Linked DNA regions of Caenorhabditis elegans. The protein of the gene in region 1 purifies or fractionates together with the protein of each later gene. This does not show direct contact. Each region holds a gene or a part of one and is shown on either strand. Other genes may lie near its edges. The genes, in order: gfrp-1, erfa-1, npp-3 and ZK353.9.

Evidence for each region.
Region 2: the proteins of gfrp-1 (region 1) and erfa-1 fractionate together in Caenorhabditis elegans (co-fractionation; one large-scale study listed by BioGRID). This does not show direct contact.
Region 3: the proteins of gfrp-1 (region 1) and npp-3 fractionate together in Caenorhabditis elegans (co-fractionation; one large-scale study listed by BioGRID). This does not show direct contact.
Region 4: the proteins of gfrp-1 (region 1) and ZK353.9 fractionate together in Caenorhabditis elegans (co-fractionation; one large-scale study listed by BioGRID). This does not show direct contact.

What each region holds. Positions count from the first base shown.
Region 1 is NC_003282.8:200,649-207,574, forward strand, and holds gfrp-1 (GTP cyclohydrolase 1 feedback regulatory protein), read left to right. Parts: upstream 1-2,953; 5' UTR 2,954-3,233; coding exon 3,234-3,368; intron 3,369-4,280; coding exon 4,281-4,433; 3' UTR 4,434-4,614; downstream 4,615-6,926. Other genes in the region: csn-3 (COP9 signalosome complex subunit 3), read left to right, coding at 190-645, 1,655-1,793; coa-1 (Cytochrome Oxidase Assembly subunits), read left to right, coding at 4,650-4,652, 6,012-6,167, 6,300-6,383.
Region 2 is NC_003283.11:6,430,842-6,438,509, forward strand, and holds erfa-1 (Eukaryotic peptide chain release factor subunit 1), read left to right. Parts: upstream 1-3,288; 5' UTR 3,289-3,318; coding exon 3,319-3,428; intron 3,429-3,474; coding exon 3,475-3,800; intron 3,801-3,846; coding exon 3,847-4,580; intron 4,581-4,628; coding exon 4,629-4,790; coding exon of another isoform or gene 4,791-5,150; intron 5,151-5,293; coding exon of another isoform or gene 5,294-5,386; 3' UTR 5,387-5,557; downstream 5,558-7,668. Other genes in the region: gad-1 (Gastrulation defective protein 1), read right to left, coding at 598-1,022, 1,070-1,389, 1,434-1,612, 1,661-2,406, 2,454-2,646; hpo-19 (NADH-cytochrome b5 reductase), read left to right, coding at 5,806-5,919, 5,976-6,137, 6,184-6,348, 6,402-6,761, 6,814-6,942. UniProt on the Caenorhabditis elegans protein: Directs the termination of nascent peptide synthesis (translation) in response to the termination codons UAA, UAG and UGA.
Region 3 is NC_003280.10:11,870,361-11,878,054, reverse strand, and holds the start of npp-3 (Nuclear Pore complex Protein), read left to right. Parts: upstream 1-3,266; 5' UTR 3,267-3,361; coding exon 3,362-3,496; intron 3,497-3,543; coding exon 3,544-3,895; intron 3,896-3,955; coding exon 3,956-4,047; intron 4,048-4,096; coding exon 4,097-4,301; intron 4,302-4,455; coding exon 4,456-6,050; intron 6,051-6,102; coding exon 6,103-6,208; intron 6,209-6,643; coding exon 6,644-6,991; intron 6,992-7,054; coding exon 7,055-7,359; intron 7,360-7,405; coding exon 7,406-7,694. Other genes in the region: DNA topoisomerase 2 top-2, read right to left, coding at 1-990, 1,041-1,283, 1,629-2,361, 2,415-2,751, 2,799-2,898.
Region 4 is NC_003281.10:8,405,923-8,413,719, forward strand, and holds ZK353.9 (PITH domain-containing protein ZK353.9), read left to right. Parts: upstream 1-3,573; coding exon 3,574-3,681; intron 3,682-4,113; coding exon 4,114-4,187; intron 4,188-5,099; coding exon 5,100-5,457; intron 5,458-5,842; coding exon 5,843-5,929; 3' UTR 5,930-6,095; downstream 6,096-7,797. Other genes in the region: cyy-1 (Cyclin-Y), read left to right, coding at 86-184, 444-528, 576-650, 700-816, 862-1,004, 1,059-1,178, 1,858-2,024, 2,075-2,237 and 1 more.

The DNA.
Region 1 (6,926 bases):
GTCATGTTTTAAAGCATTTTTCCCACTGAGCGTAGTTCACCTTTAAAAGAATTTTCAGCGTTTTTTTTTTTGCAAAATAGTTTTCTCATTTCTTCGCTTTAAATTACAAAAATGCGTAAATCTCTATTTTTCCAATAAAATTCTGTAAAAAATCACATTTTCCTAGAAAAAATCCCCAATTTTTTGCAGATATGTGCTCATTTCGCTAATTCTGAAAGGAAAAGTGGACGTGACGGAAAACGGTGACAAATCAGCGATTCGTCACTTCAAAACCAAAAGTCCTGAATACAAACAATTCTCAGAGATTCGGTTCTCCCGAAGTTCGAATACCCATTCAGCAGTGGAGAGTCTTGTGAAATCGGCAAAAGATCGTTTGAGAAAAGACGGAAATACAGAAATTGCCAAATATTTGGTCGTTGAAATGAAGAAAAAGACAATTATGTCGCTGACAAGAATGTTCACATCAATTCGGATTTCTGAAATTGAGGAGTTGGCATTTTTGAAGTCACGGGATCAAGTTACAGAGCTTATTGGTCAATTGGTTGAGGAGCAGAGGATTACTGTACGAATTGATGGAGATATGGTCTTTTGGACTGAATTGAGCCCTGTTCCATCTAAAAATGATGTTGAGAATAAGATTAGAATGTGGGTAAAATTGAAAGAAAATTGAATCTTTGGCGAAAATTTGATCCAAATCACCGAGAAATTGTAGTTTTGAAGGATATTTTGAGAGAAAATAATATGAGAAATCTGATAGAATTACTCGAAAAATGACGATTTTTTTTATTTTTAAAAAATCGGCATTTTGCCGATTTGCCGGAAATTTTCATTTCCAACAAATTGCCGGTTTGCCGATTTGCCGAAAATTGAAAACCATGTAAATTTTATTCGAAAATTCATATGGAACCACCAGAAAAATTCCATTTTTTGAAACAATCCTGATAGAAATTCCGGAGAAATAAATTTTTTTCGGCAATTTCAGAAAATTTTTCAATTTCCAATTAATTTAGGAAAATATTACCAAAAATTTGCAAAAAAATCGAAAATTGGAAAATTACATTTATATTTAAAAAAAAACGCGATTTTCTGAACATTTGGTTTTTCAGTAAAATCTTAATAAAACCAATTAAAAAAGAATTTAACAAAAAATTCGGAAAACAATTTCTAAAAATTCACACTTTTATGGGAAAAAAATTATTAAAAAATTTTAATTTTTCCGAAATATGCAGTAAAAATCGGTTGAAATGAAACGCTCATATTATTGCAAAAATTCTGCGAAAAAAAAGTAATTTCTGTTGATTTTCTGACAGATTTCCTTTTTAACCTCTATTTCTTCCAAGAACATTGTAAAATGTAGTAAATCTAATTTTTCTATCTGAAAAAAATTGTGCGATTTCTAAAAAAAAAGCTGGAAATTTGACGGAAAACTTTGAAAAAATACAGCAAATTCGATTTTTTAATAAAATTGTCTGCCAAATCTGAAAGAAACGCTCGGAAAAATCCAAAATTGCCTAGTTTCATTTTTATGAAAATACTTCTTTTTTAAATCGCGTTTTTTTTTTCAACTAAAAAGTTTAATTTTCCCAAAGGAAAAAATCTGAAAATTCTGATTTTTTTTTCAAAAAAATTCCCCAAAAACCGTATAATTTTCCAGCGTCGATCACCTGAACACTCTTCTTCACGAGAAAAACACTACTATGAAAGCCGGTTCAGGACGTATGAGACCATCAGTTATGTACAATGAGGATGAAGGATTGAGCATGCCACCAACTGAATCTAAATTTTTCTCCTAAATTTCACACATTTTCTCATTCATTTATTTCCGGGTTTTTGTCCCTTTTTTTTTCGACGTTTTCGACATCAAAATATTCATTTTTCTCATTATTCCCGAAAACATCATTTGTTCTGATCACTGCAAAATGAACATATTTTATATTTAATTTGCACGATAATTATCGGATTTTTCAAATGGTTCTGGCCGAAATTTTACTTTTTATTCTGCTTTTTACAGTTAAAATTTTGTGCATTTTTCGGGAATTTAAGGAATTGTTTAAATTTCACAAAAATGTTTAAAGTCAAAGTTTTAACCATTTTGTGGGCGTGTCCTGGGCAAAATTTATTTTATATTTCAAATATTATTTTTAAAATACGGTGCCAGGTGTCAGAAAAGCTTTTGAAGGCTTTTCTTTTTTTTTCAAATATCACCCAGAAATTCATGATTCAGTATACCGACATTAATTTGTGCATACAGTGTATTTTTTGTACACTTTTACGACTTTAAAGGAGGGTGGATTTATTCGAAATGGTCTCGTCACGTGCCATTCTTTAATTTTTGAAGCGCGTGGTGGGACCATTTCGAATAAATGCGCCCTCCTTTAAAGTCGTAGAAGTGTACAAAAAATACACTGTGTAATGGGGTTAGTCAAGTAATGTGTCAACATGTATTTAGATACATTTATGACGTCACAGATGTATTAAAATACATGTTTTAATGTACAGCTGTGACGTCATTTTTCTACACTTAAAAAAACAATTTTCGACATTACTTGAATAACCCAATATGATTAGAAAAAAATCTAGTGTTCAAAAAAACTAGCGATATCTTTTTTTTTATATTACGGAAGCACAAAATTCTGAGAACGCGTATTGAACAACATATTTGACGCGGAAAATATCCCGTAGCGAAAACTACAGTAACTCTTTGAATGACTGCTGTAGCGCTTGTGTAGATTTACGGGCTCGATTTTCAAAATGAATTAAAACAATTTATTTATCGATGGAATATTTATTAAGATTAAGCAAAAAACGAGAAAATAATACAGATTCATCTTAAGAATCAAATGAAATAAATTTATCCCGTAAATCGACACAAGCGCTACAGTAGTCATTTGAAGAATTACTGTAGTTTTTGCTATACGCATTCTCAGAATTTTGTGTTTCCGTAATAACAGTATTCCTAGGTATCCAAGAATTTCGAACAACAGGTCCTATTACCATAATTGTACCACATCCTGTATTTTATTATTTCAATTTCATTTTCTCAATTTCATCTTATCATCCATATCTCTCCGTCTTTCTTCTCAATTTTTATCGTTATTTGTCAACCTTCTGACCCCTCCACCCGACGACGTCTCTTCTGACAAATCGAGACAAAAACCTGCTTCTTCTACTTCGTTCTCTCTTGTCTACTTGTCTATCGATTGAACCTTATTCCGCAACAAAAAAATCAAGAAATGCCGTATATTCTAATTTCTACACAAATCCGAATGGAGTGTGGTCCAACTATGGTCGGCGACGGAGAAAGTGACCCGAAACTGATGGGAACACTGGAGGCGAAGCTCACCAAGCAGTTGGGAAATGAGTTTCAGGTGTGTTCTGAGGAAATTGTGGAATTTTTAGCTGAAAATTCGGTTTTTCCATCCAAAATTCCACTGAAAATGTGAATTTTCTAGCTGAAAATTCCACTGTGAATTCGGTTTTTCTAGCCAAAATTTCACCAGAAATTCGCCTTTTCTAGCCGAAGTTCCACTGGAAATGTGCATTTTCTGGCTGAAATTCCTATGAAGATCGAGATTTCCTAGCTGGAAAATCCACTGAAAAATCGCCTTTCCTAGCCGAAATTCCTCTGAAAATGTGGATTTTCTGGCTGAAATTCCTATAAATATTGATAATTTCTAGCTGAAAGTTCACTGGAAATTCGCCTTTTCTAGCTGAAAATTCCACTGAACTTGTAGATTATCTAGCTGAACTTTCCACAAAAAAATCAGCTTTTGTAGCTGAAATTTCACTGGAAATTCACCTTTTCTAGTCGAAATTCCACTGAAAATGTAATTTTTCAATCTGGAAATTCGACATTCTCTGTTGCATATAACACTGCAAATTTAGTTTTTCTACCTGAGAAACTCTGAGAAAGGTCTCACGAAAATTTGCGATTTTATTTTTAAAAAAATATCCGCTCAAAAATCAGGAATTTCGATTCTGAAATCGGAAAGTGCTGGATTCTTCTGAAATCTTGATTTCTGAAAATTCTCTGCGAGTTTCCATGAAAATTCGGAATTTTTAAGAGAAATTTACTTACTAAGTTACATTAAATAGTGTGTTTTACCTAAAATTTCCTGATTGTGAGCAAGGGTGTCAATGTCCCGTAAAAATTTAAAAAAACGGGACAACGGGACGTCCCGTTCCCGTGATAATTTTAAAAACGGGACAAACGGGACACGGGACTTGACACCCTTGATTGTGAGCGATTTTTTCTGCAAAGCCTCCACGAAAAATTGTAGGAATACATAACAAAATGGTCGCCACGAAAAGTGCTCAACCAATTGGAAAAAGAGGGATGGACAGTGGTCGCTATGGCTGGAATCGGACAAACTTGTGCTTGGACTTTATATAAATGTGACGACGAAAAAGAAGAAAATGGAATGAATTTTTGATTCGTCGCTGTTTTTTTGGCTCCCGTTTTATAAATTTTTCTCCTGATAAACTATGATTTTCCTCATTCTCCCCTACTATTTAAAGGAATTTTTAAAGGGATTTTTGACACCTGGCACCCCAAATTAACGCATATCAGAATTAATTTCGATTTTTTACAGAATTTTAAATCTACTATATTATTCTGCAGATGGGAGCAAGCTAGCTGTTTTTAAGAAATGGTGAGGCTTTACAGCTTTTTTTTACAAAAAAATCTTTAAAAAAAATAAGAAAAAAAGAGCCTAATGGGGCTATTCAAATAGTATTGGAAAATTGAAAGTGTAGAAAAATGATTGTTTAAAAATAACATTCTTCTTTATTGAAACTTTTAAACAAAGTCTCAAAAACTGCAAAATGACGTCACAGATGTATTAAAATACATCTTCACACATGTTTTTTAATACAGTTGTGTCGTCATAAATGTATCTATACCATAACCCATATACCATGTTGTTGTTGTTGTTGTGCAAATTCAAAAATCCGTAGTCCAGGTTTTTCATTTAGGGGAGGTTCCGTTTCCTCCGGGGTCAAAGGGGTCGTGGAGAGGCCCTTCATATTCCATATTAGAGGTGGGCGGCGAAATGTACAGAAATATAGAAAAATATCTTATTTGTTTAAAAATAACATTCTTCTTTATTGAAACTTTTAAACATAGTCTCAAAAACTGCCTGAAAATTTCCATTTGCCGAAAGAATTCGCAGAACTTTTTTCGGCGAATTTTTCTGACAAATGCTAACTTTCACCCATTTCCGCACTCTTTCTCTAGTTTTTCAATTTTTTTTAGAAATGCATGTTCTTTTCAAACGAATAAGATATTTTTCTATATTTCTACATTTATTTTTATTTTTTAAAGTTGAGTTATCATATCGAATGGGCCGTTTTGTAGATTCGCCTCCCATCCCTATACCATATACTATGACCTATAACCAAAATGGTGTTTTTTCGGTTTTTTTCTTTAAAAAATTCAAATTCATATTAAATGGGTATTAACAAACAAATACAGGCTAAAAACATTTATTATTCAAATTTTTTAAAAATAAAAAATTGCCGGAAATTATAGATTTGCTATGTTTCTGGAAAAAATGACTAACATATTAAGATTTTTTTCAATTGTCGGAAAATCGAATACACTTTAAAAGGCTTTATTAAGAATGAGAAATTCTTCAAATTAAATAAAAAATTATTTAGAAAAGTGAAAAATTTTCCGGTTTTTTTTTAATTGTTTCAAATATTAACGGTACAGAGAGTGTAGATAGTTAGAGAGTGACAGACATCCGGGACCCAATGAAGCGGGGCGCGCGGAAGAGACGATTTGTGTCGATTTACGAAATTTTCCTCGTTGTCATCATTTCGTAAATCGACACAGATCGTCTCTTCCGCGCGCCCCGCCCCATTGGGTCCCGGATGTCTGTCACTCTCTAACTATCTACACTCTCTGTACCGGTAATACTATATTTTTCGATGTTCTCTTAAGAAACGGGGTTTTCTTTTAAATTTCATAAGTTTTTCACTGATTTTCAGAAAAAAAAATTATATTGCAGGTTCAATCATCAACTCTAGTAAAAGTGGCGGCCGGTGTATTCGTAATGGGCTCAACGGGACTCTATTTGGCTCAAAAATCAGTTCAATGGAAGGTTAGAGCATTGCCACACTACAACGAAAGCCTCAAAATTGTTATGGAACATCCGAAAGCATTGGTGAGCACTCCCCCTCATCTTCGGGCTCCGCGAGAGAGCTCTAATTAGGATTTCTGTCGTCGCTTTCTTATTCTTTTCCTACTGCCGTCTCCCCGCACAAATATCGATTTTTCCTCAATTTTACCTTTTTAGGAAGCAATTGGAGCACCGATCTCAATTGGAAGTGTCGAATTATCGGATAGACTTCATAATTATGTGGATAAAACTACTAGTAGGGTTGGTTTTTTGGAATTTTTCAAAAAAAATTGCCAATTTTGGTAGGAAATAGTGTTATGTTTTGTTTGCAAAAAAAAACTTTTTTGTTCATTTTTTCCGTTTTTACAAAAATTTTAAATTCAAAATATCTTTTAAAAAGTTATTTTTTCGAAATCTAACTGAGTTTTCAATAAAATTTTTAAATTTTAAATAAACTTTTAGAAAAAAAACAATTTCAGAAATTGAAAAATCTTTTTTTTTTTAAATTTAAATTTAAATTAACTTTTCGCGTTTTTGAGTAAGTTTGAAACTTTAAGTCTAGAAAAATCAGGAAATTAATGTGAAAAATGTATTTTTAAAGAAAAAAATTCAAATTTCCACCAAAATTTGAAATTTTTGAGGAAAAAATTGTAAAAAAAACTTTTTTAAAAAATTTAATTTGAAAAATGTGTATTTTTCAAGAAAAAACGTTCATGTTTCATTAGAAAAAATGCAGAACTCGAAATTTCATTGAAAAAATGTTTTTTTTTTTTTGGATTTTTCAACAGAAAAATTAGTTAGAAC
Region 2 (7,668 bases), on another chromosome or scaffold:
TAAACAGTTGTGGAACTGTAATTTCGGATTGCATGTTTGTTCTACACACTTCAGCAAAAAGTGACCCTTTGAATAGGCTGCACATGGTATCAGTTGTGGGAAAATGTATGATAAGAAAGAAATGGAATGGAGGCCATGTCAATAATTTCTTCTTTAAATATAGTTTTCTCAATTTTTGGAATTAAATCCATAATAGAAACGTTTTTAAAAATACAGTTTCAGGTTTTTGGATTAGGAGATCAAAAGCGAAACATCCGAACCGGGTTCAATTTTAAAAGTGAACCTGATCCCGATTGGATACAATTCTTGCGGCAAAAGTGTAGCCATCGTCCACCGGACACTGACACAAACGACCACATATTGTTGAAATGGGGGGGAGTTGGAAGAATGGGAAAGATAGAAGTGAGCAGCATGCTAGAGTGTAGCTAGCGTTAGATATTTGGACAAGACAATGACTATGGCGAACACACAATTTCTCCAACATCATGTGATCATTGACTCTATATTTATTGGGACACAAAAAATAGAGAAAAAAATAGGAAAACAATATTACAAGAGGGAGACAGACAGATGAAAAACAAAAAATTAATGCAACGACTACTTCGTTCTCGGCATTTTGAAGACAGGCTGTAGCTCTTCGTCATCTTGATCTTCTGGCTCGACTGCAGTTTCTTGGAAAATCTTCTTTGGCTGTGTCTTTCGATACGCTTTATCAATGTACAATGGATTCTCTTCGGCGTCTTTAGCATGTTTCAGGATGCTTGCACGAACATCGGTATCTTTTAGGAACTCGGCATTACGAGCAGTTCCGATTTGCTTTGCCAAATACGAATGAAGACTTCCACCACTTGCAGCCACACGTCCATTTGCGCTCTTTCCGTTGATAGGCATATCTGCAGGCTTCCGGAACTCGGGACGAAGCTTGTTATCCTGCATTCGGAGATACTTCTTGATTCTCCATCCAGTGACTTCCTTTTCTTCTCCTTCCTCTCCGCGCGGTTGGAACATTTCGAGGGAAAGAGCTGAAATATGAAGATAAATATTTTTCGAAAAAAATTGTTTAACTTACGAGAAAGAACCATATCTTCTCGAACAACTTCAGATGCGCGATTTCTTTTGAGTGGCTTCGTCACACATGACATAACTCCTCGCTGTGACATCGTTTGATCGTAGTACACGTGAATGGTGCCATCCGAGAGTCCAGCGATAATTTGATTCAATCGCGGGTGCCACTGAATTCGGTGGCACGAAATTCCAGGGTAATCAATTTTATAGACAAGATCAAATGTCATTGGATCAAAGAATTGTAATGTTCCAGGTGTATCCTTGTTGGGTGACGATGTACCAGTGAAGACAACCTCGGCACGAGGGGAGAATCCGCAATCAGTACTACAAAAAATATACTTATGGTGAAGTTTTTAATAGAAGGATACCTTTTGAAAGCGTTTTCGAGACCGGTTTTCACAAGAAGCGGCTCTTTTGGGTTATCTAAGCTCCACATCTTCAGAGTGTCATCAAAACCTCTAGACAGTAATCTCTTTGAATCGGGCGAAAAAGCAATAGAAGTAATCGAGCCGTTGTGAGCTTTGCGTACAAGGTAATTTACATTGACCTAAAATTAAAATATGAGAATAAACAGTGTTTTTGAACTTCAACTTACATATTGCGATCCATACTTCCATGCTTGAACAGATCCGTCATCACAACCGGCGGCAATCCATTTTCCGTCAGGAGAAAACGTGCAAACTTGCGGGCTGACACGTTTTCCATTAGCTCCTTTTGTTTTGATGACTTTCCTGTGCTTGTTGATGCATTTGGTGATTACTTTATGATCATCGAGGTTCCATAGTCGTAGACTTCCATCATCAGAACAAGAGATAAACTCGTTCTTGTTTAGTGGATTGAATTCGACACAGTTAACTGTTGCTGTGTGTCCTTTAGTGATGTTTAAATCAATAATATACTGATCTCCACGAACTGTTTCAGACCATTGTTTTCCTGCTCGATCCAGTAGGCGAATGATAGCTTCTCCACTAGCTACTACAAGAGTTTCGCCGTTCGGAGAGAATGCCAGGGAATTGATAACGTGACTTTCTGCAGGCAGAAGCTCTTTGTCGTATCTCATTGACATGTCCATTTTTTGAAAATCGAACAGCTTCACGTAATAGTCAAGCCCTCCACTGGCAAACCGAACACCAGGAGGCTCAACCCGAAGTGCACTGATGGCTTGAGTGCCATGGCTGATCTTCGCTTCACATGCAGCTGGAATCAGTTTGATGATGGAGATTGCTTCTGTCTCGTCAAAATCGCTATCATCACTATCTTCGGGACCTTCAGCTCGAGACGAGGAGGGGCCCGCTTCAGACTGTTGCATTTGGAATCCTGGAGGTAGATCTGGCATGAAATCTGGAAAAAACAAATTTGAAATAATTAAAACATTATATTCGGCTTACCATCTTCATCATCAGATACAGCTGAAGAAGAAACACCAGATTCTGATTTAGAAGACACCGATACCGACTGCGGAACGTGAGTTGGTTCCTCAGTTCTGGGAGCATTGCTTATCGTTTGCGCGAACATTGCTTGGAGGTCAAAGACGCGTGCCTTCTTTTCAGAATTCTTTTTTGGAGCCGTATTATCATCCATTGTGGTGATCTGAAAGAATTATTGAAATTCGTTTTCATCTATTAGGCGGTAACGGGAAAAAAAGAGTTAATAACGAAAAGAAACGTGTAATACAACCAATATAATGAACTGCCGTGGTACATATATAATATTTTGGCGAAAAAAACTAATAAATTCTGGAAACAGTCCTGGAGTTCTGATGAAAGCTGAAAAATGTTTTCGAATTTCGAACATTGAGGACGTGGCTGACTTGTTTCGGAGACTAGGCCGCGGAGAAAGTGTGGACAATCGGACATTACTTCGCGCCGAGACCCTTCCACAAACCGTATTCGTGTTCCTTGGCACCATTTAAATTCTTTTCCCATTTTCAGTTTTTAAAGTTTTTACGCGTCATCAATTATCGATTTTTGCAGTTTAAATTGTTCAGAAATGTTTTATTCATCATTTTGTCATTGCTCAGAGAAAACGAAATACATTTTCTTCTAAAAAAATCAAATTGAAACCATTGCAACATGTTGCACAATATTCTAATTTTCCATCACAACTCTGTGCAATGTAGAATAACCAGTTCTCTATAAATATCTTTTTTTTCGCATTTTTGAGTTTCTTCCCCGAATTAATTACTTTAACTCTCTTTTCGTGTTTTATATAATACAATTACAGGTAATCGGTGACGTGCAGCACAAATAGAATATGAGCGCTCCCGCAGCAGGTGCTACCGCCGGAGGCGATGACGCCGCCGATAGAAATGTCGAAATGTGGAAAATTAAACGGCTCATCAAAAGTTTGGAATTAGCCAGAGGGTAACTATTTTCGTGAAGCGTTTATTTTACATTTGTTTTTTTACAGAAATGGAACTTCTATGATTTCGCTGATCATTCCACCAAAAGATCAAGTGGCTAGAATCCAGAGAATGTTGGCCGAAGAGTACGGAACGGCATCTAACATCAAGTCTCGTGTCAACAGACTTTCCGTTTTGGGAGCTATCACATCAGTACAGGGAAGATTGAAACTCTACAACAAAGTCCCACCAAATGGATTGGTCGTTTACTGTGGAACAATCATGACCGACGAAGGAAAGGAAAAGAAAGTTAACATTGATTTTGAGCCATTCAAAGCAATCAATACTTCATTGTATCTCTGCGACAACAAATTTCACACCGAAGCTCTTCAAGGTATTTCTAATTTTCATCATGCATCATAAAATATACCATTTTTCAGGTCTTCTTGCTGACGATAACAAGTTCGGATTTATCATTATGGATGGAAACGGTTGTCTGTTCGGAACACTCCAAGGAAACACTCGTGAAGTTCTGCACAAGTTCACTGTCGATCTTCCAAAGAAGCACGGTAGAGGAGGTCAATCTGCTGTCCGTTTTGCTCGTCTCCGTAATGAGAAGCGGCACAATTACGTCCGTAAAGTAGCTGAAAATTCGGTGGAACAATTTATCAAGAACGACAAGGTTACAGTTGCTGGACTTATTCTTGCTGGTAGTGCAGATTTCAAGACAGAGTTGGGACAATCTGATATGTTTGATCAAAGACTTCAAGCCAAGATGATCAAGACTGTCGATATTGCTTATGGTGGTGAAAATGGTTTCAACCAAGCTATTGAACTTGCTGCCGATACGCTGGCAAGTGTTAAGTTCATTCAGGAAAAGAAACTGATTGGTGGATATTTCGATGAAATCAGCCAAGACACTGGAAAATACGTTTTCGGAGTTAAAGACACTCTTGCCGCACTTGAAATGGGAGCTATTGAAACTCTCATCTGCTGGGAGAATTTGGATATTGTTCGGTACAAGATGAAAAATTCACTCGGAGAGGACATTCTTCTGAATCTGAGACCTGACGAGGAGAAGGACAAATCTCATTTCACCGACAGTGAAACTGGACAAGATATGGAAATTATTGAGACTATGCCACTTTTGGAATGGTTTGCTAATAACTACAAGGTGGGCGCTCGCTTTATCGAAATTTAATTTTTTATTAATGTTTTGTAGAACTTCGGAGCAGCTTTGGAAATCGTCACAGATAAGTCGCAAGAAGGAGCCCAGTTTGTTCGAGGATTCGGAGGTATCGGAGGATTGCTCCGTTATCGCGTTGACTTGGCTCATGTAGACCTTGAAGACGAGCTCGACAACATTGACCTTGATGACTATTGATCACGGGCGGCAGTAGTGAGCCATTGGGCGCCATACTCGTTTCTTTTGTTATTTAAGCTTGTATCCTCTTTTTTCTTTATCAATCTCTTCATAAATTATCCAGCATTGTCAAATTATAATATTTCCCTTTCTCAATCATCATCATCATTAATTGCTATATCCCATACCACACTTTATTCTAAGTTTCTATTCCATTTCATCGAGTTTGCGCCCCGTGTCCCTCACTACTGTCGTTTCGTTTGGTCTGTTGATGCTTTTAGCTCAGCTGGCAAGGCATCTCACGTCTGCCAGCATACTGAAAAAGAAACGTTCCACGCCCGGAACGAAGATGCTATTGGCGGCTTGTTCAACCGGACAAAGGTGAGCTGATTTATCATGATTCTTTTAAAAATATCTAATATTGATCGTGATATTTTTTGTTGTTGTTGTTAAATTAACTAGGTTTTCACGCTACAACTAAAGTTGTAGTCGTAAACTTTATTTGAAACAAGTTTTTTTTTCAGGTAGAGGCACGGGCGACACACTCACACTCGATGACTTCAACCCTTTCGCTTCCTTCGGTGGATGTTTCTACTCGCAATTCCAATGACTTTTAATTGTCAAATTTATGGGTTTTTCTAGGTTTTCTAAAGTTTGTTTTGGAAATACCTAGAATTAAACCATTATTTTATTTTTCTTAATTCAAATTAGTATGTGGTTGAATCAATTTTGTATTATCGGTGACTGTAACTGATAAATATGTTGGTTAAAAATAAAGCATTTATAAAATAACAATTATTTGTAAAAGTTGTAACGGTTCAATTTTCCTTATACATCAGAATTGTGACTTTGTGGTAAAGTACAGTTTTCCGAATAGAATGGCGAGAGATTTTCTTATCAGGTATTGATTGATAACGCAAGAAAAACGTGAAAATGAGAAAGAACTACTGGGAGAGTGGGCGCATCGAAACGGTCGCCTTTTTTTTAAATTGAAATTATTCAACTGCAATTTGTTAATAAATTCATCTATTCAGAAATGGTGGAGAATAACACTCTCATAATCACAGGAGGAGTGGTCGTAGTTTCGAGTATTGCTATCTACATTTATTTGAAAGCAACAAATACATGCCCCTTCTCACTTTGTAAAAAGGTAAATTTGATTTTTTTTTGTTTTTCGCGGTTATTTTAATAATTTTTTTTGTTCAGAGCAAGAAACGAACTCTTGTCGATGATTCTGTCAAGTATCCACTTCCGTTGATTGAAAAGTTCGAGATCAGTCATGACACGAGAAAATTCCGATTCGGATTACCATCGAAGGATCATATTCTTGGGCTTCCAATCGGCCAACACGTTTACCTCACCGCAAATGTGAACTTTCCAGATCCTTCATTCATCATAAATATTAACATTTCAGATTGATGGAAAGATTATCGTTCGCCCATATACTCCAGTATCCAGCGATGAAGATCTAGGATTCGTTGATTTGATGGTGAAGGTTTACTTCAAGAACACAAATGAGAAATTCCCAGAAGGTGGAAAAATGAGTCAACATTTGGAGAGCCTCAAGATTGGAGACACGGTAATATATTTTCACATTACCTTCGAGTTTTTTTGTTGAATTCGAATTTTTAGATCAATTTCCGCGGGCCACAAGGAAATATTGTTTACAAAGGTCACGGATTGTTCAGCATCAAAGCCGATAAGAAGGCCGAGCCGAAGAATCGAGTTTTCAAGCATCTTTCCATGATTGCTGGAGGAACCGGAATCACACCAATGCTTCAAGTCATTGCTGCCATTCTTCGTGATCCAACTGACACCACTCAGATCAGACTTTTGTTTGCAAATCAGACTGAGGACGATATTCTGTGCAGACAGGAACTTGACGATCTTGCAAAGGAGCATCCAACTCGTTTCCGTGTATGGTATACAGTCGATAGACCACCAGTGATGTGGAGCTATTCCTCTGGATTCATCAATGACAGCATGATCAAGGTGAGAAAAAAAGCTGAAACATGTTTTCTGAAATTGTATAATTTATTTTCAGGAAAACCTCTTCCCACCTGGCGATGATTCTGCTGTTCTCTTGTGCGGACCACCACCAATGATCAACTTTGCTTGCATTCCGAACCTTGAGAAGCTCGAATACGACCCAGCAAATCGTCTTCTCTTCTAGATCAATCAGGATCCCCAACTACTTTCTGTGTTATTAATTAGTTTCATCGCCATTCTCAATGTTCATGTATTTGACTACAATAGTAAACCTTTTTCTAACATATTCCAATTTTGAAAAGAAGACGATGCATTTCAAAAGCTAAGAATCAAACTACCAGTTCGTTAGGAGCCAGATTTTGTCAGCACTATGAGAGAGCGGTCATCTTAAGAGAGATGTGAGTGGGACAAATTAAAAAGCGACTACAAAAATCACTTTTGAAACTAGTTTACACACTTTTACTGAGAGACAACCTACACACACACGCACTTGATGACTTCAGTGTCTCCTCATTTTTGTGTCATTTTGTATTTATTTTTAATGTTCGATTTTTTTTCTATATTTCGTTTTGAAATCCTCAAAAACTCCAGTTCTGTTCCTATTTTAGAGAGAAAATGCAAAATATCCAAAAATTTACACATTTAAAAGTATAAAATCCAATATTAAACGCAGGCATTTATTTTATACAATCTGAAATTTATTGAAGTGCAATTAAAACTGGCAGAATTCTCAACAAAAATGCTATTACCTAGACGCGAAATTTTACAATTTGGCGCCAAAACTACGGTACAAGGTCTCAACACGATAATTTTTTGGTTAAGTTCAAATAGGTACGCGTCTTTAAAAAGTACTGTACTTTCAAACTAACTGGATTTTTTTACTCGTTTTGTTTTCAAAAGTTTTTCGTAG
Region 3 (7,694 bases), on another chromosome or scaffold:
TCCCATAAGCGACTGTTCTCCGTGATGGTAAGCAGAAATTTCAGCGACAGCTCCAGCCAATTGAGCTACTTTGACTTCACGCTTGTCTGCTCTCTTGAAGCACGCGAAGAGAACCTTCCGCTGTCCTGGCTTGAAACCATCCACAAGGCATGGAATTGAACGCTCGTTGTCGAGATTCGAGAAGAGGACCAATTCACGATTGACGAAATCTTTGAAGGTGACGAATCGAGTGTCCTTGTTGTAGAGATATTCTTCAGCAAGTCCCTGCTGCTTTCGGTCCTTCTTCTCCCGCATCCACTTCGAGAGCCAGTCTTTTCTCTCTTCAATCTTCTTCTTCGAGAAAGCCATGTCGACAGCGTTATCATCATCAGCTCCATTGTACTTGAAGCGGATACGATGACGAACCATGTCCAAGAAGTATTCCTTAGCTTCCTTAGAAGTCGATGTACCCAATCCCTTGTAGTACTTGATCTTGTACGACTTCCAGTTATCCGTATTCATTCTCCACTCAGAATATTCTGGGAGCGAATAGAAGGAAACTTCTTCTTTTCCTTTGGTGGCTTTGACAATTGGAGTGATGAATTCTTCTACGAAGTTCCGCTGAATGAGAGAAGGCCAGAAGTGATGGATGAAATTGATCACGAGTCCTTTGATGTGTGAACCGTCTTGATCCTGATCAGCCATGACCATCAGTTTACCGTATCGAAGAGTCTTGAAGTCATCTTCTGTCTCGTACTTCTTCTTGTATTGGAGTCCCAGAATTTTGATCATGGCATTGACCTCAGCATTATCGGCGATTTGTTTCATATTTCCTTCTCGGACATTTAGCAATTTTCCTCGAAGTGGGAATACTCCATATTTGTCGCGTCCAACGACTGAAAGTCCCGAAACAGCAAGCGTTTTGGCCGAGTCTCCCTCCGTCAGAATTAATGTGCATTGTTGGGAATTTTTGGTTCCAGCGTCGTTGGCATCTTCAAGCTTTGGAATGCCCTGAAATAAATATTAATTAAAACAAGGCCACGAATTAGATGAATTGTTACCTTCAGCTTGGAAGTCTTCGTCTTGGAGCACTTTTTGTTGAGGTCGTCCATTTGTTTGAAGCGAACCCAACTCATAACAGCATCGGTGATTCCAACACTTGAAGCCGCTTTGGAGAACTTCTCGCTGAGGACGCAGGTCGATCCGAACTGCTTCTGCTGCAGGGTCATAGTCTCTTTCGTCTGGGAGTCGAATGTCGGATTTTCGATCAAGCAATTCACAAAAACCCACATGTGATTTTTGATCTGAAAATTTTGATATAAAATTGAATATTTGGAAAATTTATTAGATTTGAATTCGCATTAGCAATTCCTCGCCTCAGATTCGCCTTTTAGTAATCACAAATCATCGGAAAGTTTAAAAATGTTGCGCCGCGCCTTTAGACACTGGATAAAAACTTTCTCCAGCGTCACTAAAGCGTCGCAATTTTATTTTTCACTTGGTGCACCGATACTTCAAAAGAATCGGTGAAATCTCTAGAAAAACCTTGAAAATTTTCAGATTTCTCTTATTATCGAGTCACCAAAGAGTTCATATAGCTATTTTGAGTCATCATTGGCGGTAAATATTTTAAATTCGACGAAATTTACCTGGAATGGCTTGATATTCATCGACGTCTTTGTGAGCTTCCGCTTGATCGAGTCGATGAACTTGGCGACCATCTGATCAGCCACGTAGTCCACGTGCCGTCCTCCTTTTGTGGTAGCAATACTGTTGACAAATGACACTTGTTGGAAGCCTTTTTCCGAAAGAGCCAAGGCGACTTGCCAACGATCTCCAACTTGCTCGTATGCGATCTTGAGGGGTTCTCCTTCATTGTTGAACTGCGAAGTGTACATTTGGACGTAGTCCTCGAATCCTTTGATTGGAATTCGTTTTCCATTGAGGAACACGGCGACTCCTTTACTGGATCCAGCCACATCATACGCACGCCGAGCCATCAAATGGCAGATGTCATCGTCCAGCTCCTTCATCTTGAACTTTGCCAGATCCGGCGAGAATGTGATCTTCGTGAAGTCTTCGTCGGTGCTCTTAACAATCTTCGGCTCCTCATCACGCGTCATGTTTTTGATCCACGTTTGCTTGAATGCACTTTTGTAATCCCGTGAAGACGTCTCCAGAGTGAATTTTGTGGAGAAGATGTTGCAAAGCTTTGCTCCATATCCGTTGCGTCCTCCCGTCACTTTCTTCTCATCGTCATTGTAGTTAGAAGATGTTAGAAGAGTTCCAAAAATCAGCTCTGGGACGTAGACTTTCTCCACTTTGTGCTGAGTGACTGGGATTCCTTTGCCATTGTTGTAGACAGAGATCTCATTTTTCTCCCTGAAAGAAAGCAAAATTAAATTAAATTCCTTTATGCTACGGTCTAAACTTACTTATTGATGGTGATCTTGATTGTGTTCATCTTCGGATCTCTCTGTTTGTTGTCAGCGGCATTCACAAGAATTTCATCATAAATCTTGTAGAGTCCCGGCACGTATGAGATGTCACGCTGCTCCAGCTTGCTCTCCTCCATGTTGTAGACCCACATCGGCGTCTTCTCGGTATGCTCGACCGAACCGATGTAGGTGTCCGGGCGAAGAAGAATGTGCTCGAGTTGGGACTTCTTTTGGTAGATATCCTCGATCGCCATTTGTTTCGAGCCACCACCTTTTTTGTCGATCGACGTGAACACATTGCGGTCCTCTTCAGTCATAACCATCGACTCGTTGGCTGAAAAGAAGCAAATTAGATTCAAGAAACTCTACAAATTAACCAACCATCATCTTTCTTTTTCTTCGGTGACGCCTTCTCCTTCTTTGGTGCGGTTTTCTTCTTGGGTGAATCTTCGATAGAGAATTCACTATCAGAGTCGCTCATTGTTAGAGATCTGGAAAAAGATGACATTTAATTTTAGGACGATCGGGAGAAAGAGAGAAAGAAACGCGGTGAATATTCAATAAACTTGAGGATGCGAAGAAAAATGAGTGAAGAGAAAAAGAACTAGCACACCAGTGGACATCACTGGACACTGAACACTGAATCGATGCAAGACAGCCGGCTAGAGAGCGCACAAAAAAACAACTGAGCGCGCCAAAATGAGCGTCCGATTCGAAATTGGCGGCCTAAGAGCGTCGGGTCTCGCAGCGAACGCGCGAAAAATACACAGCTGAAACGAGTGTTACCGTAGTTGTAGCCTCGAAATACGAAATTTAGTTTTTGTGTCTGCGTCTCTTACGGAAATGCATTGCGAGATAGAAGTTGTGTAATTTTTTTGCGAAAAAATTCAAAAAAAGTAACTTTTTGTTCTAAATAATGTTTTATTTATTTTAGAGAGCTCAAAATGTGGATTGAGATTCGTAAATTTTACGAACTCATCGTCTCCTTCACAGCTTTCGATGACGACCGAAAAATAAACGAGCTGTTCAACGAAATCGAGAAATACAGATGGCGATTGAGCAATATTCTTTTGAATCCGGTATGTTTTCCGACTGATGTTAGTGTAATAAACCTTTCTAATTGAAGAGACGAACGGGTAAAGATCGGGAAAAGCTGAAGCCAGGAAATGTGGAAATGGCAGGAGTGGAAGTTGCGCTAGACGAGGAAATCTGTTCGGAAGCACTCATTTTGTCGGATATCTTTCAATTAAATGAGCTGGAAGCTGTGGATTTGATTTTGGCCGGAGAAGCTCAAAAAATACATTTCGAAGGCCTCAACAGAGGATTAATCGCTGTCGTTTGCTACTATGATGCGCACAGGCTCCTAATCGCAACAATGCGCCAAATGCTAAAATGGGACCGAGAGGATATTCCTCAACGTATCAGCAAGTTCCTCAATAGCACATTCATCAACGAGGACGTGATCAAAAACCTTTTTCGTGGGTTTTCAAAAAATTATATTATCATAAATATTACTAATTTTTTTTTCCAATTTTCAGAACAACTAATCAATTTCACCGTTCAATCAGAATTTGCACGACTTCAATCTCCAGATGTCAACGGTTTAGGAGGCTCTAAACATCAGAAATTGGTACCGAATTGATTATAATTTTGGAATTCTTTCATAAAATTAATTTCAGGTCAGAAATGCCATTGAGGAGATTCGAAGTGAAGTAATTGGTTGCATTTCGATGATCTGTGAGATTCCGGGAGGAAACGCAGTTTCGATTTCAAATCATTTATTCCAAATTGTAAAGGCAGTTCCACCGGAGAAGCTCAGTTGTAGTAGCTTGACAGCCTGGATTTCTCTCGTTAAAATCACATCGAGTGAAGTGTTGTCTCAAGGTAATATTTGAAGATGGAGTAGCGATTTTTCTGTTTTTCTTTTGTGGTTTTTCTGTATTCGAGAATATTTTCGATTTTCTAAAGCAATTCTCGCTACTCCATCTTCATGCCTATACCCAAAAATCCAGTTACAAATCTGTTTGAGAGTTTACAGTTCACGATGCTCAACAAGTGCTCACAAACATGATCGCCCACATTCGGAATGAAACAGACTGGTCGGATCAAGCAATGTGCGGAACTCTACAGCTAGCATGCGCTGTTGCTCTGAAATCGATTGCCTCATCGCCATCAGATCATCTAGGGATCGAGAATATCAAGGTGGACGTGGAAAGAGTCATCGATCGATCTATCCGGAATATGGCTTTTCATTACTTGCGACAAGCGATCATCAAGTCGGAACACTTCCGTTATGCCCATCAGTTTATGATTATTGATGAGCTTCTGAAACAGCTGATTTCATATTTCCCCGCGAAGCTTATGGAGACTGAAAGAAATTCTACAGACGAGCTGAACTTCCTGGATGATCAGAAAAAGGAACAATCAACGACTCAAAAACCGGATCCGAAAAGCCAAACAGTCCACATAACGGACAAAGTTACAGCTCAACTGAGCTCTACAGATCCATCGAACAACTATGATTCGGCTCTATCACAATATGAGAACTTCCTTCGATGCTTTGTGGATTTATACGAGATGCAAGTGACCGACTATGCACATCAGAAGAATGCGAGAACAGCACGCGAACGAGAGCTTCAGGAGCAAATCGAAGAGAACAGCATGGCTTTTAGTACGGAGAGATCGATTGAGCTCTGCCGGCTCCTGGAACGTGCTCGTCTTCCAAACCATCATGTTGTTCATTCAGTTGCTTATCTGGAAATGTGCGCTGCTGTATGCAAAAATGAGAACACAGCTGCTCTACTTTATGACATCTTCTCCAAAGAACATTGTGGACCAGATTCATATGGATGGGAATCTCTGGCTTCAGCACTCAAAGGCTACGATCGTTTGTACCGGGAGCAGAAGTATGCGTCGAATTCTCGTCACAATCAAAGTCAGACAATGAGTATGAGCACCAGCTTCCACCAACAACAAAGCCTCAATCTCACACTTCGTCCAGGCGACAAAATCACCATCCCAGCTCAAGAGCTCAGCGGACTAGTAGCCTGGATCCATATGGCTACAAAAGTTGCTCAATTGAATGAACGAGCCGCTATGCGATTCTCGGATGATCCTTCATGGACGTTGTGTTCTGTTGTCGCATCGCTCTCCACTTCTCCAGTACCGCTATCTATGAAAGCATCGATGCTTGATTTGCTGACGGCAGTGGCACGGCTCAAAGGATCCGCACCGAGAATTTGGCAAGCAATTCATCTGAATCAATTGTGCTATTCTTCGGATGGTGGAACACTAATGGGAATCCAGCAGGAGCTCGAGGAACGAGAATGTGTCGCGAAGCAATATGATGTGTCGTTAGCTTTTGTGAAATTGATGACGACCCTTCTGATGCACAGATCTCTACCGGAATACGCTACACCATTCATCCAATTCGTCACCAGAAGTATTTTGGCACATTTCTCCACACGCAGCTATAATAGCGTTGTTCAAATGTGGGAGCTCGCCGAGTGGTCGCTCCGAGCCACCAACGCACTTCTCGAGCACGGAATCGTCGAGCCGAGAGCCGTGGCATCGAACGAAGTTCATATTGCCATTTTGACGCAGTGCCTCAATGATACGCCGATGTACAGAGCTGTAAGTCACAGAATTTATTGAATTTTATTTAAAAAAAAAAATCGAATTTCAGATCACGCGGGTTATTATGGAGGATTGTCAAGCTCACAATGATCCGTACGTCACACGGCAGTCTCCATCATCCGATGCAGCTTTGATTGCACTGCGAATTTTATCACGTGAGTTTCAGGCCTCAAATATATCGAATTTCATGATGGAACTTTAAAAAAATGGCTCGAAATTTTTTTATTGCGATTCAAAATGTTGAAAAATGGCGTAATTTCAGCTAAAATCCACAATTTTGATACTTATTTTTATTCAATGAGTGTTCTATTTTGCTTATTTTTGCCGTTTATCTTACACTTTCTCGTTGATTTGAAGCTTTAAATCAACTAAAAGCGTGAGTAAAACGCATCAAGTGCGTAAAAATAAGACAATAATCGAGTAAATGTCTGTTTTCGATTCCTGCAGCACGGAAAATAAGTCAAAACTGAAGATTTTAGCTAGAATTATCGAATGTTTCCCTAAATTTTGGCATTTTTAGCCTGTACACCGTCTTCAAATGCTGTAACATTACATGTAATAATATTCAGGCCTAATTATTTTTTTTCCAGGAGCAATAATTCTGCATCCGGCTCTTCGTGCGTGTGCCCGTGTCTCATCCAGTGATATTATGATCGCTTCCATTCCATCCCTCGTCTTCTCACCAATCATCTCAGCCTCCGCTTGCACACCTCTTGATCTCGTCTTCCATTACCTTCATATGACTGATGACTACCCGGTACACTCTCTCTACGCTGCCAGAATTCTTCGAGACGTGATGGCTACACGTGGAGCTGCCGAGGTGAAGATGCTCGAGTTGTTAAGATCCAGAAACTCGGCTGCATCTCATGTTCGGGCGGTTCGAGCGGCGATCTGCGCTACGTCGATTCAGTATACGATTGATGATTCATTGGCGAAAGGTTTGAAATTTTAAATAATATATATAAATAATCTTGAATTTTAAATTATTATCTATATTTCAGAAGAAGACACAGATAATCCACATTTCGCGAGAGGAGAAACCGCTCGAATTCTCATCGAAACTCTTTCGGACGCCATCGATTGCCAAGTAACAAGAACCGGAAATCGTCTGACTGATACCAACAATATTTGCTACTACCTTCTCGCATTCCGACCATCAAAAGCCCATACCAAGGAGCTGTATCAAGCGGACGACGTGCTCACCGGTCTTCACTATGTTCTGTATATTATCGAGCAATTTGTGATGTCGAAGAAACCATTCGATTTACCTTTCTCAGCGCTACTAGAGCCTGCATTCCGGCTGATGGTCTGTTTCTAAATGTATTCAATAAAAAATTATAAAATTATTTCAGCAAAGACTTGTCTCGATCACGTGCCCATTCTCTAAACCAGTGCTCTGCTTCATGCGATCTTCAAATATTATCGAGAAATTGACAACATCTCCATTCATCTGTTCGGCTCTCACTCTGGAAAGTGCCCGCGACAATACATATGCTCAAGGTGTATTCGCTGTTCGTCGTATGATTGTTGGTTACATTCTTCACTTCGCCGCCGTCGAAATTTCGGCAATGCTCACTACTGGCCACTTTTCTCGACCTGAGAAGCTTTATCGTGCACTCTTGGAATCATCATCTCTTGTTG
Region 4 (7,797 bases), on another chromosome or scaffold:
TTGGAGATTAAACGTGTTCCGTAAGTTGAAATTAGTAACATTGTCTTTGAAACTTTGAATTTAAACCAATAATTGTTTACAGGTGATGGGAAATTCATCGTGTTGTCTGCGAACGAGGTCGTCGAGCGGAGAGGACAAATCGTATAATAATGATGGACAGTATATTAGAACTAATCAAGTGGAGGTATACAAAGTTATTTTTTGAAAAAGTTTGCATAAATGGAAACTTTGATATCGATTGTTGGAATAATTGTTTTTAATTTAAAAAAAAACTATAAAGCTCTGAAAATATACATTTCGAAGAGAATAATATTTTTTATTTACACAAATTTGGTTTAAAGGGCTTTAATAAGCTTCACGAGTACAAGATTATTTAAAATTATATTTTAAAGGTAAAAATATTCGAAAACCTCTTTCTACAAAAACCTAAATTTAAAATTCAGTTCCAGTATGTCAATCAAGTGTTCCCTCGTGATGAAACATCGACAAACTTCCTTCCTCACATAAGTGAACGAGAGGTAACAGAAGGTAATTATATCACTGAAGTATATATTTTTAAATTCATATTTTTTAAGGATACGAGGAAGATCCATCAACGAATCCAACAGCTCGGCCAACATTTATGGAACGAAGTAAAAGTGAAATGAAATGTAAAATTCTTTTTCTTCTAATCCTTGAATCTATTCTTATCAATTCCAGTAAAAGACAATCGTCGTTCATGTTATATGTTGGATGCATTGGCAGCTGGTGGTCATCATCCCGGAATTTTACCCAGAAGCCTGCGTAAATCAAGCAGCTGCAGTACTATTTATATTGGTAATTAAAGATTTCATAAACATTCTCTGATTTCTCAAATTTTAGATGATTCAACAGTCAGTCAACCTCATCTTAAGAATACAATAAAATGCATTTCTCTTGCAATATATTATCATATTTCAAATCGTAAAAATCGTGGACACGAGCGACTAATGGAGATTTTCGAAGAACGACTTCATCCGATTTTCGTAAGTTTTATCAATCAATCCATAAGTTCCATACATTTTTCGAAGATTTTTCAGAGAGATCCTATACCTCCAGAGCAAATGACACGGGATCCTGATCATCGGAATATTTATCGGTTTGTCAGAAATCTGTTTAGTTCTGCGCAGTTGACCGCCGAATGTGCTATTATTACTTTGGTGAGTTTTTTTTTCGGTTAAAATCTTTTTAAATGAATATCATGAGATTTGGCAAAAATGTATTTGTGTAGAAGATTCGCCTTGTTCTATTGAAAAAATATTAAAAAGACACAACGTTTTGCAATTTTTGTGCCAAAAAAGGTTCAAAAATTTTCGTTATTCGATTTTAATGAAAAATTAAAATTTTCGTTTTTCCGACATTAAAAAATCTAATTTTCGAAAAAAAATAACTTATAAATTTTTGGCCATTATTCTTCTTTTTTAAAGATTTTTTCTGAAAAAAAACAAAGTTTTTCTATGAAAAAAAATGGTAATTTCAAATTCTTTCGACTACGGAATTTTCATTGATTTTTCGTATTTTTCCGATGAAAAATATTGATTTGTTAAAAACTACATAAATTTTAACAGATCATGAGAAAATTAGAAAAAAAATTATGAAAATGTCGGGGATCCAAAGTTTGAAATTACAGTAATCTTTAAAGACGCACACCTTTCCGCATTTATCGTGTCGAGACCATGTACTGTATTTGTAGCGCAAAAAATTCACGCACTGGTAATATTTTAACTTTTCGCTATCGTAGTTGAATTACCCAATTTTGATTTTCTGCTGCCGACGCATTTCTCTTTTCTTTAATAAATTTATCAATTTTGTATAAAAACGCGAAAACCATTTTTTCAGGTGTACATCGAACGATTGCTTAATTACGCAGAAATGGATTTGTGTCCTTCAAATTGGCGTCGGGTTGTACTCGGTTCAATCATGTTGGCATCAAAAGTATGGGATGATCAAGCTGTTTGGAATGTTGATTATTGCCAAATTCTTCGAGATACAAATGTTGACGATATGTAAGTATTTTTTTTATTTGGTCAGAAACCCCGTAATTAAATTATTTCAGGAACGAATTAGAACGGCGGTTTTTGGAATGTCTCGACTTTAATATTGAAGTTCCGTCGTCGGTGTATGCCAAGTATTATTTCGATCTTCGAACATTGGCACTTGCAAATGATTTACAATTACCAATTCAACCGTTGTATAAGGAGAGAGCGCAAAGATTAGAGGTAACCTTTTTGACAATTGATTTTCGGGGAAAAAGTTAAAAATTACCAAAAAAAATTATTTTTTTGTTGCATAAACAAAAAGAAATGTCAATTTTTAGATCAAAGGGGTCTCTGATGTTTTTCTGTTTTTTTTGCAATTTTTTTTCAAAATTTAATATTTTAGTCTATTGGAATAATTGAAAAATTTTCATAGAAAAATCGAAAAAAATATTTTCTGAAAATTAACAGAAAAAATGAATTTTTCATCGAATTATGTCTATGTTGATGAGAAGAAAACATAAATTATTTTCAAAAAAGAGCGATAATGGTCAAAATTAAAAAAAAAAATTTGAAAATATAAATCGAAAAAATACGAAAATTTGCGTTTTTTTTTTCTGTGTAAAATCGAAAAACATATAAAAAAAAAGAAAATAAGAACAAAGAAAAATTGTCAAATAGTAATATCCTTTGTATGCAATAAGATTGAAACATGATTTTTAATGTGCTGTTTATTCTCGAAAAAATAATTCTGAAAGTTTCAACATTTGAAAAAAACTTTTTAAATTCTTCCCAATTTCTTATTCAACAATTTTACAGGCTTTGAGCCGTGTCTTCGAGGATAAGATTCAATCATCATCGCTTCCAAAGCGTGCCCGGTCAGCTGAACATCTTGTCTTTGAGCATCCGGCTGTTCTCTCGTAGACATTTTTTTTTCTAATTTAAATATTTTGTTCAGTCAATTTATTGTAATATTTATAATTCTGTAGTTTCAATGGATTTGCCTTCTTTTTGATTTCAAGAATGTTAAAAGAGAAGGTATTTCCAAAACCGCTACAGTTTATTCTCGCATGTAACTTATTTCAACCTGCCCCAGTCAACCCCAATGCATAATAATTTGAAAACGCCATAATGTTTCTTTTGTATGTCTTGTCAACTGTTAATGTTTTTGCTTCTTCCTTTGCTATTCTCTTAATTATTTCTCTGCACACTATCGTTTTATCTTGAATACGGCTAAATTCGTTTCCTTTGACAAACCCCATCTTGTTTTCCTTCTCAAATTGCTTGTATTTTCAAAAAAAGAAGTTTGTTGGCTATTTAATTGACTCAATACCTATCTCAGAAAATCTCATTTTCTCTTTCTTTGTTTTCTTTCGATCCCTCCAGTATTACAAAATATCTGCAAATACTTCTGTATCACCATGATCAACCCATGTCCTCTTTTGAATAGATACATTTGAATCGATTACAGTAAAATTGTTTTCTGAAAAACTTTTTCAGAGTGTTTTAATATTTGATGGTTGAAAAATACCGATACTTGGCATTTATTCAAAAGTAGTTTAAATAGTTTTTTGTCCAGATGTGTTCACATGGTCATTCTCACAATTGTGCCGCAGAGCACATTCCAGAAGTTCCAGGTGATGACGTGTATCGCTACGATATGGTCAGCTATATTGACATGGAAAAGGTAAACATAAAAAACAAAAATGATTGAAATCAGCAAAAACACACTTAAAACGTTCGAATTTAAAGTTTTCCCGAAGATACCTAACGAGACCCAATGTTTGGGGGCGGAGCGTATTTATTTAGTGTTGGAGCGCGCTTGCACCTCTATGCCAAAGAGGCTTTTTTCTACGTACCCATAAATAAATAATTGAAAGATGCATTGTAAGATGAAACATATAAATATTCTGAGTATCGAAAAAAACAGGAATAGTTTTTCAAGAACTAATTAAATATTCTTGTTCGAAATTAAAATAAAAATTAAATTTAAAATGCGTTAACTGTAACTTCTCCCTACAATCTCACAAAATTAGGAAAACGCATCGCGAGAAATGCCATCCGCTGTCAACGTTTTTATTATTCAATTCAGCAATTAAATTGATACCAATTCTCTCAGGTAACTACTCTCAACGAGTCAGTCGACGGCGCCGGAAAGAAGGTTTTCAAGGTGATGGAAAAAAGAGATGACAGGTTAGCTAGTACATGAGGATTACATTTTTATATAGGATTATTCCGACGATAAAACATTCCATTTTAAAGAGTATTGTGGTAATGGGGAGTATTTTGAAAATTATTTATGTCTACGAAATAGTGGCTAATCGGAAAAAGTTGACAACTCTTCAGTATTACTCACAGAAATTGGTATAAACTTAAATTCCCAGACGTGAAAATTTGTAATTTTGGCGACAAGAATACGGTACCCGGTCTCAACACGACAATTATTTTCCAAATGAGAAAAGATGTGCGCATTTACAGAGTACGGTAGAGTTTATAGAGTACTGTAGACTAACGCTCATTTCTGTCGAATTTTTATCAACATAGTTTTTATTTCACGTTTTGTTCAAATTTATGTGTTTATATTTGAGTTATTAAATATATAAATGTATTTACCGAAAAAAACTATGACAAATCTATGAAGATCCGCAATATCGAACGTTCGAAACTACAGTACTCTCTAACTCTTTAAAGACGCACACATTTTCGCATTAAAAATTTAGTCGTGTCGAGACCGTGTACCGTATTTTGTTAAAAATCTCAAAATTCGCGTCCGGGTAATATGGGACTCAGCTTTAATCACATCTCGCAGCGATCTTACAGTAATCTACCGTACCCGCCACGCAGCCACATAATTTAGATTATTTAAAACAAATAAGTCATATGGTAATGTTAAAGTTTTAAAATTAAACTAGGTATTCTGAAGGTTCGCTAAATACTTTTTCGTAATGAAGATAAACTTAAGTACTTATTGTATCAAATTGCTGACAGCTGTCTTTCTATCTGTCAATAGAACAACCTGAACAACTAATCTGTCAACTAATGCCCCAATGTCCAGAGAAAGAAAAGTATACACGTACATATACACTCTTAAAAATCAAATTTCAGATTGGAATACGTAGAAAGTGATTGCGATCACGAGTTGCTATTCAATATTCCATTCACCGGACACGTTCGTCTAACGGGTCTCTCGATAATCGGAGACGAAGATGGATCACATCCAGCCAAAATTCGATTGTTCAAAGATCGAGAGGCAATGTCATTTGATGACTGTAGTATTGAGGCAGATCAGGAAATTGATTTGAAACAAGATCCACAAGGACTCGTGGATTATCCGTTGAAAGCTTCAAAGTTTGGAAATATTCATAATCTATCGATTTTGGTAGATGCAAACTTTGGAGAAGATGAGACAAAGATCTACTATATCGGATTACGTGGAGAATTTCAGCACGAGTTCAGACAAAGGGTAAGGAAAAATTTGAATATTAGCCAGACGCGAAATATTTTTTCACCAATGGGTCTCGACACGACGAATTTGTGAAAGGAGAAAAGATGTGCGTCTTAAAAGAGTACTGTAATTTTTAAATCTTGTTAGATACTGCAGAAAGTTTTATTGATTTTTCTGGATTTAAAATTTTTATTATTGAAAAACTTTTTAAAAAAATTTACATTTTTTTAAACGTCGAAGAAATGAAAGTTTTAAATACCGTACTCTTCAAAGGCGCACACCATTTCACATTTTACAAACAATCGTCGTGTCAAGACCAAGTACTGTATTTTTGGTGTAAAAATTGCACATCTGGCTTTTACAGAATTTTAATTTGTCGCCTCGGAAAAAAACCAATTTTCAGATTGCAATTGCCACATACGAATCAAGAGCTCAACTCAAAGATCATAAAAACGAGATTCCAGATGCTGTTGCCAAGGGACTTTTCTAAAATAATTAATTATTGATTACTTGTGAATTCGTTAGTGTTAATCAATCCACGTGGTTTCATATTGACTACCAGTATTTTCGATTGAAATGTTTAAATTGTAACAATACACGACATTTGTCGGAAAGTATGTCCCTCAAATTCTTCTTTGAAGTAAATTATTTCTCTCAATTGTCTTCCGTCTACCGTAATCCATTCCACGGGCATCTGCATCTTCAATCTTCAACGCCCAGCAGTAACCCTTTGACGACAAAATGACAACCCTCTGGGGGGCACATACGCACACATACACTTCTCTCCTCCCATTTCTTTTTTTCTCTCACAATATATTTATGAACGAATGAATGTGAGCGGGAAACTGAAATAGTGTTTATTGGAGAAGAGACGCAGAAGTGCGCTCCTCTACACTTAAAAAGACGGTGGCCGCGAGGGTGAAAAAAATGGAAGAAGCATACATTTTTTGTTGCGAAATGAATTCAATGGAATGAACAAGGATTGGTCAATTGTGAAGAGACGCAGAACAAAGGCAGAATTGTACAAAACAATACATAAAGGATGCATGAATCATAATAGGAATTTGGTATACTGTAATAATGCCACGTCATTATCTCTTTGGTTGAGAAAGTACGCGTTATCGTTGTATAATATCGTATTGGGTTACGGTAGTTTTTAAAAGACATGTTAAGTTTATCGAAATGTAGCGATGTTGGCCCCAAAAATACTGTACTTGGTCTCGACACGCCATCATTTTGATAAAATAATATACGCACCTTTAAAGTGTACTGTAACTTCAAACTCTCATCGTTGCAGAATTTTCATCGATTGTTACTAGTTCTTCGATCAGAAATATTAATTCATTGAAAACCTCAAAAATAAAGAAGCACGCATTTTCGCAAAAAATTATCGTGTCGAGACTGGGTGTGCTAACATCCGAAAATTCTGAATCTAGGCAGTAGGCAGGCAATTAGGCGTTCAGGCCTTAGGCACACACAAATGCATCCCGGAAAAACCTTAAAGACACTTCTCTATCAGCCGTTTGAAATGATCCATATAAATGTTGTATGTGACATTCGTGATAAGATTTTCATCGAGAAACTAATTATCCCTAAATATCCAAGAACTGACTCGAGAACAACCGAAATCCCAAGTGGCTACTGCGATTGAAAAATATTTGTGGAGACTGTTAGCTAAACGAATCGGAATTTTTTCATTTTGTAGAAGGAACTGAAAGTCTGAAAAACTTTATCAACCTCCGGTTGTGTGTGTTCCAAGACCATTCAAGTCAAATAGCCACTCGTGCTTGGACAATCCCTTTTTTTCCGTCATTCTACCGAAATTTACCGTATCCTACAATACACTCGCGGCGAGATATTTTGCCGGCGTTTTTCATATGGATCCTGAACAATGATATCTTTTGAAAACATCAATGAACCACAATTTCACTTGATAAATTGTACAGTTTCAAGCAATTGGTAGACCCATTGAATTTCAAAAGTCTCGATAGCAACAGTTATTCAGAAATAAAAGCTTAATCTTTCCGAATTAGACTTTTCATATAATTTTTAAAAATAACTCCTTTTAATATAGTTTCATAATCTGTTATTCTAATTACACAGTAAGTAAGTAAAAACTACGATTCAAATATTTACAGTTATGGAATATGTTTTTGTACAGAACGTGCCCTTGTAATCAGAACTTTTGTATCATTCAAGGTTACCGTTGGGTTCCATTTGAAGTAAAGTCCCCTTGTGACTCACAAAGTACTACAAAGTTGTGTACACATACAAAAATTGTGTTCAAATGTCAGCAGTTACACATTTGGAAAAGTTGAGTTTTACGAATTGGGAATTAAAAACTATTTTGATGCCTAA